2 linked regions of the Drosophila melanogaster genome follow. The protein of the gene in region 2 interacts with the protein of the main gene of each other region in a pairwise test. Each region holds a gene or a part of one and is shown on either strand. Other genes may lie near its edges.

Region 1 (3,980 bases), on a different chromosome or scaffold from region 2:
CCGCCTTGCACTCTCGTTTATCAGAAATTACAGACTGCGAGCCTTATAAGCCAGTGTAACTATACTATAACCATACCAATGTAAGTTTATATTTAATTAACATTTTTGACAGTGTCAGGGAATATGTGCTTGCCAGATTTGAGGGTTCCTGGTATCGTGGCAAAGTGGAACAGATTATAGTTGTTCCACGGCAGCAGACAAAGTACCGGGTAATGTACCTCGATTACACGAATGTAGAGGACATAACCGAAATGGATATCCGTCGCTATCCATTAGACTTCACCGCTCCCTGTGCCACAAACCTTTGCGTGATTGACGGTATGGATATTAAACATTTGTCTTGAGCATAACATTTGAACAAACACTTTATAGAATTCCCGCACAACCCGAATGCAGCACAGGTTTCCTATCTGGCTGAGGTTTTGAAGGTCCATCAGTCAGTTCATATTGATAGTATCAAATATATCAACCATATAGCCGTAATTAAATCGGGAAGTCTTATTCAGAAGCTGTTGAGCTTGTAAATTTTAAGTGCATCAAATGCCATTTACTTGACACCACAACTAAATCGGGTCAAACACATTACGAAGTTATTGCGAATAAGCATTACGTTTTATAATTTTAAAAACATTTATATATAAATAAAATTCCATTAAATAACAACGTTAAAGGCTTTTAATACACAATGTTATGTTCCCTAGCTATTGATGCCGTTGATTCTCGATTTAAAATTTAAGTTACACACAACCGGATTACAACAGACGGAAAGGACATGCACAAGAGGTTTTAGTTTGTTTGGTTTTAGTTTCTCAAATGTTAAAAATGGTAGTGAAAGCGGGTCTACAACGACAAAGGCACTGTTTGGTGTGGATCTGAGACTCGCTCCAAGGCATTAGGTGTTCTTTTTCATTGTCATCTCGTGGGCGGTGCGCAGACGTCGTCTGAGTTCGTTTGGAAATCGGTCATAGCACTTTTTGCACACCGGCTTCTCGTCGTACTCGTAGAATTTCGATTTTTGTGTCATCTTCGTGTCGCACACGGAGCACGCAAAGTGGTGCACACACCAGGCCTTGTTCAAGGCAGTGAAAACTGTTGGCATTATGGAATGAGCGCATTAAATAAACCCAGAATATAGTTCAATTAAGTTACTCACCATCGCCTCCAATAACCTGGTTGCAGACGAAGCACAGGTTGCCAAAGAGCTGATGATAGTGCGTCTCGCAGTAGGCCAATCCCCGCTTCTCGTAGTGTCGGTGACCCAAGAAGGGTTTCTCGCACTTGGCGCACACGAAATGTTCCACATGCCAGTGCTTTCCGAGCGCCGTTACCACCCTCTCCTCAATCGGACGACGACAGGCACCACATATGGGAATGCCCATTTTATCGTGACAACGCAGACAATACAGTTCGTTCTATAATGGAATAATAATTCAGTTGCTTCTTATTTGCTAAAGAAAAAAAAACCCACCATATCGTTAGCAGCCAATCCTGGCCGGCTCTTGACCTCCCGAGCAGTGGAATCCAACTCTGTGCCGCAGGCCGTGCAACTGAAGTGATAGCCGTGGTACACTTCGCCCCGGAATCGCAAAGGCTCCTCGTCGATGAGGCCGCTGAAAAGCAGAGTAATTAGCAACATGTTTTCACCTAAAGCCTTTGAAACCTACTGGCATTTTTGGCATACATAGCGGCCGGTAATCTCCGCCTTCACCTTGGCATTGCACTCGTGACACAAGGCGCGGTTCTGGTTCTTGATGAATCCGCAATCAGCCAGCTCCTTGGCGCACAATTGGCAGCGGAAGCACTGTGGATGCCAGCTAGCTGACATGGCCTTGATGACCCGTCCGATGACGAACTCGCCGCACTTGTTGCAGCAGGGAGCGAAGAGCACGTGAAAGTCGCGTTCACAGTACTTACGGCCCTCGAACTCGTAGAATATCCCATCCTGGAAGGGTCGGAAGCACTGGGCACATCTAGAAAATGTTTATTAGTGAGGGTATTAGTGAAACAACTACATTGAGGTTTACTTACACGAAGCACTGGGTGTGCCAGAGTTCTCCATTGGAGTTAACAATCTTCTCAGTCGGCTCGAAGCCGTCGGCACATCGCGTACAATGCATGGCACCCAGCGACATGTTCGCTGCCTGGACTCTGTGAATTAAGAAGAAGATCAGGATCAGTTGTTGGTAAGTAACTAACCAATTCAGAGGCCATTACACTTCAGCCTTAGAGTACATCATGGTTATAGCTTGAGCGCAAAGAAAAACGACTTTAGGGCAGGGCGTGAAATGAGAAACTGGACAAAACAATGAGACTTATCGCTTGCCGGCTCTGTTGACGATGTCTGAATCATATTTCCTTCGAATGCACAGCCAAAAAGCTTTCTGGCATTCCGTGGAAGTTTAGCTTTCATTACAGAGAGTGTCGCATGGCAGTTGGATATCAAGCGTGATACGCTGCAGATGTGATGGCTTGGTGATATATCGTTTCGGAACAGGTTATATATACATATATAAAATATATACGAAGAACTATCATATTCGCTTTAAGCTGGATAACAATGAATGGCTATAATGAGTAATTGAAGTAATTATTACAAGCAGGAGCGCCATTTGAAAAGTTTGTATATAAACAATATATATAATAAGATGTAACTATCAACTCCCCATTACTGGTTGAGTCATTGAACATTCCTTGGCCTCCAAAAGGGGTTACAAATTCAAGCATCCAATTGGAATTGGGTTTGCCGCCAACACAACAGCGGCCCACTCATCATAATCAAATCCGACGAATACACACAAAAATACGAAGAGTAAACAATACACAGACACGCACTCTCGCACAAACACACACACACACTCGAGTGGCGGCGTTTAAAAATAAATTTGAATATGACCATGACGTCATCGATGGAGTAAACATCTGGCAGGAAAATTGCATTGAATGGGGGTCCAAAGCACCACCATCACTGGCAGAGGGTTAACGCTGGATTAGGGCATGAATGATAGGCACTGCTAGCCTGAATTAGTTATATTTTTTTATTAATTAGCGAAATGCTTATTTGTGCGAATGGATAACGATGATTATTATGCTGCCAAATGATGCAATATGTGGGCGTTTTGAAGACAAGGACGTTAAGAAAGTGGGGCGGAACATTCTGCTTACTGCACGGGCGGCATTCTGTGGGCTTTTCTTTTTTAGTTGCTTTCAACTGGTTTTCACTTGCGAACAACGGCACCTGTTGCACCTGGTGTACAACGTTTTCTGATCACGGCGAGTGAAACACTGCAAAAACATATAGAAATGATCAATCTGTGTCTTTTGGCTTTAAGCTCTGCTCGCTTGGCGGCCTTCTAGCCAGATCCGGTTGATTTTCAGCCAAGAAGACGATCTGCGCAGCGCTATCGCAGCACAAAAACAACAACACCTATATTGCCAAAATGGGCAAATCTCTGGAATTTCACGCGTTTCACTTAAGCATGTTCACATTTGAAGAATTGCATTCAACGGAAAAAGTACTTTTTACCTTCAGAGAAACCTTTTTAATTAAAGCCACAGTTTGCTGCAATTAAATTACTTTTCATTTAACTAACAGCTTCCGTGGAAAAAGACGCAGAAAAAACCACTCTACTTTATCACTAAAAAATCCCTGTACAACCTGCCTATCGATAGCTCTTCTGTTCTCGAGGCAGGTAGCCCTGAATGTCAATCGATAAACACCCAATACTACTGGGCGCCAATTTAAATTCGCTATTAGCCTATGTTACCGAAATACATCAGTTAAAAGAACTTTACGATTTAAGGCGCCACGCTTATCGCAGCGTGGCATTTTTGCTTCTTTGTCTCACCTTCTTATCAGCTGCTGGCCAACTGCTGTTCTTCTTCGAAACAGTTTCGTAACGCGCTCTTATCAGCTTACTGCCTCTACTTATAATTTCACGTACTATTTGTTTGTAAACAAGACCGGTTCGCATGCCAATTTA
Region 2 (3,345 bases):
CCCACTAGCGACCAACACGCAGAAGATGACCAGACCTGGCGTTGAATAAAAAAAAAAACCATTAGGTTCCAAGTCGCCGGCAATCGCTTAACCACGAAAATCAGAGAGAGACAGCACGAGAGCTACGACTTTGCAGCCGGCGTTTCCACTGAATTTAGCGTCAAATTAAAGTTCTCCGGCTCAAACACCGAGCAGGCTACGCACCTAGCTTTAACATTTTCCTATATTGTGGTTGCGCTTTCACACGCCGCTTATATTCTATAGGAAAATAAAATTAAATCGCTCAAAAATCACCGCCTGTCCCTCGATATTTTATACACGTCAGCGGCCGAGACAACTATCGATATGTTTCTGGATCAACAAACATCGATGCGTAAACGAAGAACCATCGATGCCCGCTGCAAGAGTGACCGTATGCATGCTCTACTGTAAACTCAACCGTTATAAAACATTACGTTTAGATTGAATTTAAATAAAATGTTAATTTAAACTAATTGCATAGAATTTCTCAAACTGCAAGTTTAATTTTTATGTAACATTTACAATGAAAGATCAAAATTAAATAATATTCTGTGGGCACTACTCTCATACAATTTCCACATCTAAAGTGCAAACTTATCAGGACACAGATCTATAGGTCTGGTAATAGAATATTTTCTTTTGAAAGTCTTGGTGAAATCTCCCTCGTGATTCCATACTGTTACGGCAGTAGTGCAGTAAAGTGGATACTTGTTGACCAGAACTTCCTCGGTCTCTTCGTTTTTCGGTGGCACATCCTTGCAGAACTGGTCGTAGTACTCCGTGCGATCCTCACCCAAATCCACTTGGGCGGAGGCCTGTCGGTTGTATTCGGCAAAGAGTTCCTGCCATAGAAACTGTTCCATGCGATTTGCTCTAGTGGCTGCATGACCATTCGGATTAGAAAAGTTCTAGAATACTGCAGTCTTAACTTACGGAGCACTTTCTTAATTTTGGGTGGAGCAAAACTCGCTTGAGATTCCGTTAGTTCCGTTGAACATGGGCCCACTGGGAGTACCAAATTATTTCCACGATCAACCATTGCAGAACAAAATTTATATATTTTTTCGATCTAATACTAAGGTAAATAATTTATTCGTTTGCCAGTGACAGACTGACGGCTTACACTCTACCTACTTCGATATAACAAACTAGCCGGAAACTGCTAGGCAACGGCCTGGTCCTCAGGACTTTCCTGTTGATCCCCTTGCGGGAAATCGTCCTCCACGATGAGGGATACTTCCTTGGGTCGGAGTATACAGTAGTAAACGATTAAAGTAGCCAGAAATAGTATTCCACTGTAAACGATCCACTCCCAGATGAAACCGAACCACCAGGACTCAAACTCCTCGTTTGCATACCAAATGGACGATATGGTAATGTTCTCGACGAGCGTGAGCACCAGGTATCCACCATACCACAATCGAATGTTCTTGAAGGACACGCGGAATTCCATTAACACAAATATATAGATGTAGGCAAGAAGAAGGAGGAACAGGCTGCGACTCCAACTACCACGACAACGGGTTTCCAATGCCAGGCAACCCAGCATCAGCGCATAGTGTACGCCCACCAGGATAAAGAATGCCTTCGGATAGAAGACACAGAAAGTGGACAACGAAAGCATTCTCATGGTGATGAAGGCAATCCATCCGAAGAAGGACACCGTCCTGCCAGCGAAATCATCCTGTTGGATACCATTCACTATTTTCGTGGGTCGCGGGAAATAAAAGTCCACCACATCCTTGGGCGTTAGAGGTGATGGTTTGGGTGATTGGGGAATCAGAACAGTGTGCTCCTCGGGATCCTCGTCCTTGAGCCTGCCAATGAGAAGCTTGGGCGGATGTGGGACATTCTCTTTGATGTACAGCTGGGCATTAACCAGCAGCATATCCTTAAAGGTTTCCAGCTGGGACAGAGGTCGTGTGACCCGACGGCTCTTTCGATGCTCATTGTCGGACAAGGTTCGTCGCAAGTCGGGCGTTGGAGGATCCTCCTCGGTTGGCTTCAGAACGGGCAATTCTGGTGGCGCCGTTTTTGGCGGCGGTGGAGGAGCTGGCGTCTCGGGTATGCTGTCCAACACCTCGATGGTGTCCAAGTCCCCCAAGTCCTCGTATCGCACTTTCAGCCTGGGCCTTGTTCCCTGTATCTTCTCCTCATCGGTAGCATTATCTATCGGCCCGGAATGCAGTAATGCTCGCGTTTCCACTTGCTCCAGTGCATCGTTGTCCACCTCATCTTCTCCCTGAATATGCAGCTCATGGGTGGCCTCACCTGAGTTCGGCAATGACTTGCGGGCTCGAAAGTTCTCCATTATCTTGTCGGATTCCGGGAAACTGGTGATGGTGCGCTCGGACTCGCGCTTTTTCCGCTCAGCCTCACAGCATAGGCGTTCATTCTGCTCCAGCTGACATCGATGGCTGTCCACCTGTTGCGGAGTGGCCCAAGGATAATGGCGACCCACCCGCCGCTGGCTTTCGATCCTATGATAACTGGTGGTTATGGCAGCCAGATCAATGGCTGAGAATACCAGCGATAAGGATTGAACAGCAGCTAAAAGCAAGAAGTTAATACATTGCTAATGCCATGAGGATATATCTTACAGGTCTCGTAATTGCGGAACATATCCTGGACGAGCATGTGATACAGCTGGAGAATGATTTGTGGAGCTGCCTGGGCATAGGCCTGAACAAAAAGTAACAACTCGATGTTGGAGGTTTGCGTGGCCTTGGCCAAGCATTTCATGCGCTCCACATCGTCGTCGTCGTGAAAGAGTCCCTCGATGGCCCAAAACAAGCGCGTACAGAACCTCATCGTTTGAAAGTTAATAAATATGGCAGTGACCCACATGGCAATCCATTGACTCACCTGAAGATCACAAAGAAGGGGAACAGGAACAGCTTGAGCAGTCCAATGCCAAGGGCGACGCATTTATTACGTTCCGAGCAGGCGCATTCCCTTTGTTCCTTTGAAGCCGCGACCAGGATGAAAGTGATCACGGGGGGTAGGATAACCAGGACCAGGGTGCCAGCTCCCAGTGTCGGCTCCTTTTGCCTGAAGTGCTGGTAGCTCAGGGCCAAATCCGAGGCTGTTTGAACGATGTACACCAACAGTCCAAGACAGGTGGGCACTATGTAGGAAACCCAGATGCGCGTGCGGCTACGAACGGTGTAACCAAGTATGTGAGGCGGAGGAGTGGCCGCATGGACCACCGTGTCTGTCATGATTCCGATGGGAGTTCCCCTTTGAATCTGGTATTGTAATTGCGTTGCTCACATCTGCAGCTTGCGAAATCCACGGTGATACTGAACAACTATGAGTAACCGC

The links.
Region 1: the proteins of CG14488 (region 2) and stck interact in a two-hybrid assay, tested with the Drosophila melanogaster proteins (2 studies listed by BioGRID).

Annotation. Positions count from the first base shown.
Region 1 is NT_033777.3:8,356,639-8,360,618, reverse strand, and holds stck (steamer duck), read right to left. Parts: upstream 2,292-3,980; 5' UTR 2,238-2,291; coding exon 2,215-2,237; intron 2,149-2,214; coding exon 2,029-2,148; intron 1,971-2,028; coding exon 1,665-1,970; intron 1,611-1,664; coding exon 1,469-1,610; intron 1,413-1,468; coding exon 1,154-1,412; intron 1,090-1,153; coding exon 893-1,089; 3' UTR 659-892; downstream 1-658. Other genes in the region: veneno, read left to right, coding at 1-55, 113-318, 373-524.
Region 2 is NT_033778.4:17,766,665-17,770,009, forward strand, and holds CG14488 (uncharacterized protein), read right to left. Parts: upstream 1,123-3,345; 5' UTR 1,061-1,122; coding exon 955-1,060; intron 902-954; coding exon 603-901; 3' UTR 501-602; downstream 1-500. Other genes in the region: OstDelta (oligosaccharide transferase delta subunit), read right to left, coding at 1-35, 205-217; CG18635 (uncharacterized protein), read right to left, coding at 1,184-2,571, 2,622-2,827, 2,887-3,242.